Cricetulus griseus: one gene and its partner. The protein of the gene in region 2 purifies or fractionates together with the protein of the main gene of each other region. This does not show direct contact. Links are inferred from orthologs where the notes say so. Each region holds a gene or a part of one and is shown on either strand. Other genes may lie near its edges. The genes, in order: Erlin2 and Itpr1.

Evidence for each region.
Region 1: the proteins of Itpr1 (region 2) and Erlin2 purify together in Homo sapiens (affinity purification with western blotting, with the first as the bait; 4 studies listed by BioGRID). This does not show direct contact. The link is inferred for Cricetulus griseus from reciprocal best matches to the Homo sapiens genes ITPR1 and ERLIN2.

The regions. Positions count from the first base shown.
Region 1 is NW_023276807.1:56,817,767-56,822,304, forward strand, and holds the start of Erlin2 (erlin-2), read right to left. Parts: upstream 2,951-4,538; 5' UTR 2,824-2,950; exon of another isoform or gene 2,685-2,823; intron 2,648-2,684; exon of another isoform or gene 2,510-2,647; intron 1,704-2,509; 5' UTR 1,689-1,703; coding exon 1,582-1,688; intron 1-1,581. UniProt on the Homo sapiens protein: Component of the ERLIN1/ERLIN2 complex which mediates the endoplasmic reticulum-associated degradation (ERAD) of inositol 1,4,5-trisphosphate receptors (IP3Rs) such as ITPR1.
Region 2 is NC_048601.1:36,112,246-36,116,057, forward strand, and holds part of Itpr1 (inositol 1,4,5-trisphosphate receptor type 1), read right to left. Parts: intron 3,270-3,812; coding exon 3,075-3,269; intron 416-3,074; coding exon 164-415; intron 1-163. UniProt on the Homo sapiens protein: Inositol 1,4,5-trisphosphate-gated calcium channel that, upon inositol 1,4,5-trisphosphate binding, mediates calcium release from the endoplasmic reticulum (ER).

The DNA of each region.
Region 1 (4,538 bases), on a different chromosome or scaffold from region 2:
TTAAAACAATAATTGTTTTGGCAGTGCTAGGCTTGAACCCAGGTTGTCACACATTGTGGTAAAGTATTGTCATGAGCTACACCATGTTTCAGAAGCATCTGGGGACTCACATACGATATCTCACTATTTTTGAGACAGATTTTGCTACATAGCCCTGATTTCTGTAGTACTTGCTATATATAGCCCAGGATGACCCAAAACTTATAGTAGCCTTCTTGCTTCAGCCCTCACCCAAGTGGTGGAATTACAGGTGTTGAGCCACCACACTTGGTTCAAGAATAATTTTAAAGTCACTTCAATACATGTTAAGTATACAATATATGTTTTGACACATGTATATTTCTAATCAAGCTGTATATGAGTGACAAAATTAAAAGCTTTGGGGGAAAAGAAAGCAGAGGGTAGAGACAAATTACTAAAGAGGAAGTGGGAACTCAACAAAAGTTTAAACCTTTTTATTATTATTTTTTAATTAGTGGTCTTGAGTATGCTAGTCAGAAGCACTTCCACTGAGCTACAATTCTAACTCAACGAGCATTCTGGAGCTTGCTGTTCCATAAGCAAGCACTAAATAAGACCCATATAAAAGAAGGGCTCAAGCCGAACATGTCGATGCCTGCATTTAATCCTAGTATTTGGGAAGCTTGGGCAGGTAAATCTCTGTGAGTTCAAGTCAACCTGGTCTACACAGACCATTTCAGACTAGCCAGAGCTACACAGTGGGACCCTCTCTCAAAAATGGGGCAGTGGATAAAGGCTGGAGGTGTAGTTCAGTGGTAGAGTGACATGAGTTTAATCCTTGACACCACAAGCAAAACTATCAGCCTAGCAAATTGCCCCTTCTAAACCTAAAACGAAAACCTTAGTCGAAGAAGCCACTGGAAAGAAAGTAACTCAAGAGTATTTAAAGGGTCACTCTCCCAAAGTTGCCTTGATTGCTATAAATCAGCCTGCAGAGTCTTTATACTTTCTTGAAATATTCACTTTAAAACATTCTCTCAGGCCAGGACTGGTGGTACACACACCTTTAATCCCAGCACTCAGGAAGCAGAGGCAGGTGGATCTCTTAGTTTGAGACCAGCCTGATCTACAGAGCGAGTTCCGTGACAATCAGAACCACACAGAGAAACCCTGGCTGGAAAACAAACTCAACAACAACACAAAACAGTCTCTCAAATTAGCAGAGCACACTTCTCAAGTTGCCATCAAGAACTGGGGCTCCACAACTTCTGAAGGGGTAGCCTGGCGGTGTGGAGACAAGATTCTTCAAGGGATGCAAGGGAAAACAGTGTCTCGGAAATGATCATGAGAGAGTAGTGATTCCTTGAGACTTCTGTCTGTAATCCTATAAATATAAGTATCGGCATTGCCTTAAAAATGCTAATGACAATTTTAAATTTAAATAAACACACACACACACACACACACACACACACACACACACACACACACACCCTTACCCATTGCCACTGCCTTAGAAGCTCCACCTGAAAAGGGCCCCCCTATTTAACAAAATATACAGATGTTGGCAGGATCTGCTAGCCAGTGACAAGGGAGAGGAGCCACCTGTTTCTGCCTTACCTGTAATATACTCCAATATGTCCCTCTTCTATCTTGTGCACAGAAGAGAAGAGAGATGCACAAAAGAAACTGGAAGCCACAGCCACAACTGCTCCCAACTGAGCCATCAGTGAACCTGTATCCTAGAGATAAGAGAGGGGACAATGCATGGCTTGACATGTAGGAGAGAGGCCGAAGCACTGAGAGTAGCTCACCAAGCTGTAGTTCATGGAAAGTGATTCACAAGCAGACTGTTGTAGAAACACAATGCTAGCCAGATCTACATCTCATATCATCCTTGTTCTTGGTCAACATTCGGTTCCTTAATTGTGGGAGTATAATGCCCACTGCAGCGAACAGGCACTAGCTCCCTAGGCATACCTAACAGAGATCCGGTGCCAACTGGGCAGGGTTCAAAACACAGCCTTCTCTTCACTACTCATTAATGTGTTGTCACTGGAGCCACTTGTAAGTAAGGGAAGAGAGGCAGCTGCAGTGTGTTGGCCCAAATTACAGAGGATGTCAAATGACAGGCAGCTGCGGCTATGTATTTCTGGACAGAGCCTCCTACTTCTAATTGCCTGCCATTTCGAAGGAAACCATCAGTTATTCCCTTGGGACTCTGAGGAGAGAGACAGCAGGCAGTTGAGTTCCGAGGTAGGAATTCTCTGGCCTGTCATCTATCTTCCCAGTTATTCCCTTGGACTTAAACGGGTCAGATCTCTAAACAAAACTGAAACCGAACTCTCCTATATCCTTTGCCCCCAAGTGCGGTGGTTATAGGAAACTGGGAGTGCCTCAGCTTGGGGTACTCTGGGCTCCTGGAGGGTCCCAAACGTTCAGGCACCGAGATGCGACCGAGCGTCTGGAAAAACCATGGTGACGGACCGGCACATTGGCACAAGGCGCGGATTCCAACGCTCAGATCTAACTTATTTTTTTTTTTTACCGTGGCGGCCTCCAGCTGCCGAGCAACAGTAGCGTCCTCTCTGCAAATGCCCTCACCACCACCACTACCCCGCCCCACCTCGCGCCCTTTCCCCGCCCTCCTCCACGAGACAGGCACGTCCGAGAGCTTCCGCTCGGACCCGCTGAAGGACCCGTGGGCAGGAGACTGGACACACAGGGGTTCTCTCTGCTCCCGGGTGGGCGGACTGAAAGTGAGCGGCTGCGGGGTCCAGAGCTCTGGAGCTCTGCCAGGATCAGCTCCATCCCCGCGCCGCAGCGAGGCCCAACGTGCACTGAGGGGCGGGGGCTGCGTACCAGGCTGTCCCTCCAGGCGCTCCGTACACGTCTGAACCCCCGTGCAACCGCAGAAACCGCCACACCCCTCAGCACGCTACTTCCTTCCGGACCAGTCGCTTCGATGATGCCATCAATCCGCGCAAAACTCCTCCCCCTACCCCGGGTTTGTCCGCCCGCCCCGCCCCTCGCACGGCAGTGCTCGGCGGTGCCTCCAGGGGGCGCTCGCGAAACGACCCGGTGGCTGCAGGCGGACCTGGGATTGCAGGTCTGAGGATGCCCAGCGCTGGGAAAGTGGGTTCCCGACACCACGACTCTGGTATCACCTTCCGAAGTTCTGACTTTGGAGATGGCTTAGATACTCTCCTTCGATCCCGGGAGAGCTGGATTTCTTTCTGTTTTTCTTTTTCCGGAGCAGGTACCAGAGCGATGCAGCCTTCTCCTCCTCTTCTCTGCTTTTCTCTCGCACCAGCCAAATGAAAAAACTTCCAAATGTGCAGATTATGACGTCGCTAGTCAACAGCCCTACTGAATTGCTCTTTAGACTTTGAGAGCTTTGTTTAGCCTCGAGGTCCCCACAGCAACATAAAGTGATTAACAAGGAATTATTGCCCTGATTTTAATGGACGGAATCTGATTTTGTGAGGGGTGAGGCCAACAGCAGTCATGGAAAACTTCCTTTGCGTTTTCTTAATAGTCGGAGCTTCCTGTCTTGGTTAACACCTGCCACGGTGAGCTTGTGTCTGCCATCTGCACCTAGGGACAAAGTGGACCAGGAAGAGAACCAGACTTCATGTTTCCTAGACTAAGGTCTTCACGTGTTCTCACCCCGCAGCAGCGTGGTATTGGGACTTTCATATTGAGCCTTCTCTTCTATTTTGTTCTGGGGGTGGAACCAAGCGCTTTGTGGCCCCACTCTTTCTCCAAGCTGCTTCCTTAGCAGGGAATTTCTGAACCAGCCACTAAAGTCATTTTGTTTGCAGATTAGAAAGTGCCCACTTTAATATTAGCTTTAAGTAAATGAACAAAAACCTTTCCATACAGCAGATGGTCACTTGTCAAAGTTAGACGATTTTAGGACTCTGGAAAGAACCTCTCCCAAAGCCAAGGCCCTGAAACCGAATCAAAGTTCCGGGAAGCCAGATGTTTGGGGACTGCAGAAGAAAAGCAGCTGCCCCCAACCCCAGATGCCCAGTGGCTACAAAAGCAGACAACAGACCGTGTTGTCTCAAAAACAGCTTATCTGAGGGAAAGGGCTAACTCCCCATTCTGTCCCTAATGAATCCCCTCCTTGCCCACTCTTAGGTACAAACTCCAGCCTGAAGCATGGAATCTGTATTCCCCTGAACTCTGGTCATGGAGTGACTGGGTCCTGTGCCCTGATGAGGGTGTGGTCACAGCTTGAGAAGGCATCTCTCTGTCGTTAAAAACAAAAGCCTGCTTCAGCTATGTGAGGTCATCTGAATTCTCCAAAACCCAGGAAGGGCTTCCAGGGTATTACAGCCCAACAGGGCCCTTTCCTCACCTCTATCCTATCCCCTATCTCCAGTTTCAAGTTGCTTTCTCTATCAAATGCCACTCCACCTTAGTTAGTACTCACTAAGGCTAAACAGCAGGTCCCATCTAGGGCCGTAGCAGCCTCATTGATAGGTGAAGGGGGAGGGGGCTGGTTAGTCTGAAGTCTGTGTTGGCTGAATTGGTAAGTGTTCTTGCCTTTACCCTCTGAGGAGACCTGG
Region 2 (3,812 bases):
TAGCTACACAATTCTATTTAAATCTGAAAGGAAAAAAAAGTTCTTTTTTTCCTATGATTTTACTAGGTCATGTATGTGGTTTATCTCCTGGTACACAAAACATTAGAGTCATCGGATTTTTAAGTGACATAAAATCTCTACAGGAAGCTGGACCCAGGCTTACTCATCAATGGCGATCTCGGAGGGAATTTCTGACCACAGACGGGCGTATTTCACAGGGGTCACCTGCTCCTGAGGATCACGGTCCACATGCATATGAAGCATGAGGCGGCAAAAGGATGCCCTGAGGTCATACGGTAGGTTCTCATCAGACATACAGCGAAGAATAAGATCAACATCCAGCTGGCCAGATATTTCATTGATAGCCAGGTATTGGCGGTCCAGACACATCCTTGCAAAGAGGTTAAGCTGATACCTGAGAAAATAACAGAAGGCTCATACTCCAGAGATCAGGCAATATGAGGGTAGTTCAACAGGGGAGTCCAGGTGGCTTCAGATTTCATAGGAGTGACATAGGTCACTCCTATGAACTTATATACCGACATCCCTAAATGATTGTTATACATCTAATTTTGGATTCTGAACTAAGGAGATGGAGGAAATGTTCAAGGCATGCCAGAGTATGGGCCAGCATCCCATAGTAACACATCGGTCTAGCTGTGTTAAAGCAATTGTGTCATCATGTGATTACATTTGCAATCTTCATCTTATAAAATAAATAGGGAAAAAAATGACTAGGCCTGAAATAATATCTTTCTACTTCACCCCTGCATTTTATACTCATCAAAGACCATGCAGGAAATATCAAAGACACTGTTCATATAAGTGTAATGAAAATTCTACAATATTAGGGCTGGAGAGATGTCACAGTGGTTGAGAGCACTGGCTGTTCTTCCAAAGGACCCAAGTTCGATTCCCAGCACCCACATGATAGCTCACAACTGTCTATACCTCCAGTTCTAGGGGATCTGGCATCCTTACACAGACATATATGCAGGAAAAACACCAAAGCATATACAATAAAAATAAATTATTTTTTAAAAATTCGACAATATCTCTAGGGTCTTCTATCACATAAGTTGCTACTGCTAAAATGTAGATTGAACCATTCAGTTTAGGACTGCTCAGCAAAGTTAAAAACATGGGTTTCCACCAATCCGCCTCTTCATAGGAAATGGAAACTCATGTGTATACGCAAAATTAAGTGAGGATGTGCCCTTCGTGTGACGTGAAGAACTGAACTGTGGCATAATGAAAGGTCAAATGCAAAATAGATGGCATACAACAGTCAAAGTTAGAGAAACTGTCTACCTCCATTAACACAGAGATGATATTTTCATATATATATTTTAGAAACAGCATGAAGGAGAGCTTTAGAATGGTATCTGCTACAAGGTAGCATTTACATACAATTTGAGGAATAGGAAACATCCACATATACACATGGAATACAGTATAAACATACAAGGAGATGCTGCAGAGATGAGTCAGTGACTAAAGTATGTGTTGTTCCTGCAGAGGACCTAGGATCAGTGTCCAGCATATACACAGTGGCTCACAACCGGTCATAGGTTCAGTTCCAAGGAATCCAGTGCCTTTTTCTGACCTCCATAGGCAGTGAGCACACATGTGGTGATGCACATGCATACATGCAGGCAACTTGTGTACACATAAAATAAAATACCTTAAAAATTAACAAAGAACTTTGAAAAAAAAAGGCCATCATATATATAAATAGAAGAGAACAGACTAGAATACAGGAGTAAGAAAAGGCATTTTAACTGCAAAAGTCTGTTTATTTTATTAGGAAATATTAGAAGTACTAATTTTTCTTTCCTTTTCTTTTAGAGTTATTTAGTGGGCAACGTCTCTTCTTTTTTTTTTCTTTTCTTTTCTTTTGCTTCAGGTGTCAAGGCTATATGGCCTTGGAGCTGGGACCAGGACTAGGGACTGAGGTGACAGCACAGGTGGACAGTGATGACATACAACAAACACAAGCAAGCAGGTGAACATCCCAGGAATGACAGTGGCTTGAGGGAGTTACGAAAACTGGAGGCTGGCAGCCAGAATGCATCTGTGGCATTTGGCAAGAACTGATCGAGTACACGGAGCACCCCCACCCCCATCAGAAATGCACCACACCAAAGTATCCAGTACTAGAGTTCCTCAGATTTTTGTGATCTTGCATAAACTTTACCAGTTTTATGTTGCTAATCTGAAAATATAAAATACTCCAAAATCTCAATCTTTTTGAGCATCGTGCTAGGGGTTCCAACAGTTCTGTATTTCAATTTCTGAATTATTAGGCCAGGGCTGCATGAGTTGTATTATTGCAAACCCCTGGTTTTATAATATATTTGATTCATGCACACAGATAAGTAGAATATGAAAATACAGGTACGGGTATATACAGGGAGAGATTTTCTGTAGATGTTCTAGAAGTCTGGCACTATTATCCCTAGTTTGAAGATGAGGGATTTGGAACATAAAGTCAAACTCAGCCAAAGTAAAAAGTCTAGTTAAGCATAGAGATGAAGATTTGAACAGATACAGCCTGACCCTGTAGCCTGCATGCTGCTGACTGTACTATAGACAAGCAGTGCTGTATGGGTGAGGTGTGACAGAGGCTGGAGCAAGCTCTTGTGTGTCCTATGACCTGGACACACAACCAGACAAAGATGGACTATGAGTCCATGGGACCTTCCACCAAAAGCTCATAAAACACACATATGTCTTTCTGTTGGGCAACCTTACTACAGGATACCACACCACTCCTCAGAGCAGTGCCTCAGCCTTCCTAATGCTGTGAGCCTTTAATACAGTTCCTCATGTTGTGGTGACCCCCAGTCATAAAATTATTCCATTGCTACTTCATAACTATAATTTTGCTACTGTTATAAATCATAATGCAAAGATCTCTGTGTTCTGATGATCTGAGGAGACTCCTGTGAAAAAGTTGTTTAAAATCCACACCCCACAGCATTGCCTTAGAGTGATCAACAAGAAAACCATCTGCTCCCAAGTGCCACCACTGTGGGACCCCTCAGTCCATGCCCAGCAGGCCCCCCACTCACCTGTAGTAGCTGAGGATATCACGGTCTTCCTTCTGTCCCTCTTTAGCATCTTGTGCCAATTCCCTGACACTCTTACTACGTATCTCTTTGTTGCTGTCCCTCCAGAACAGCCACACCTCTTCCTCATCCTCTCCAGCTTCCAGAGCATTCTCTCCAGTGGCAACGCCTTCAAACTCAAAACGAGAAAGAACCAACCTATATGAAAAGAAGAGATGGAACTCAGTTTTTATGAAATCCTTTGAAATCTTGCTCCTCCTCCAGCCAGAAACACACAGAAAGCCACTTTGTTCTTTATTTCTCCCAGTGTCAGAGCCATGAAGAATCTATGTGGTCTCCGTGTGCTTTAACCTGAGAATTCTTAACTAGGACAGTTTTTCTCCGCACTACATACATGGCTACATTTTTGGTTGTCACAATTGCAAAGAAGTGCTACTAATATGGAGCAGCCACAATCCAGGGACACTTTTGCTAAACATTCTATAGTGACAGGACATTTGCCACCACAGCTTCATCTAGCCCCAAATGTCAGAATGCCAAGGTTGAGGCACCTTGCCTTAATGCAAGTTCCCAAGTTAAGTTACAAACTAAGAAAAAAAAAAAAAACTGCACCACTAGCTTACACCTTACCTCTTTTTAATACTGCCTACACTGCTGCAGTATAGTCACCAGGAAAAATGCTCCTTTGCTAAAAGTGAATTGCTACTATTACCAAAGCAGTAATAATAGTATGACAATTAT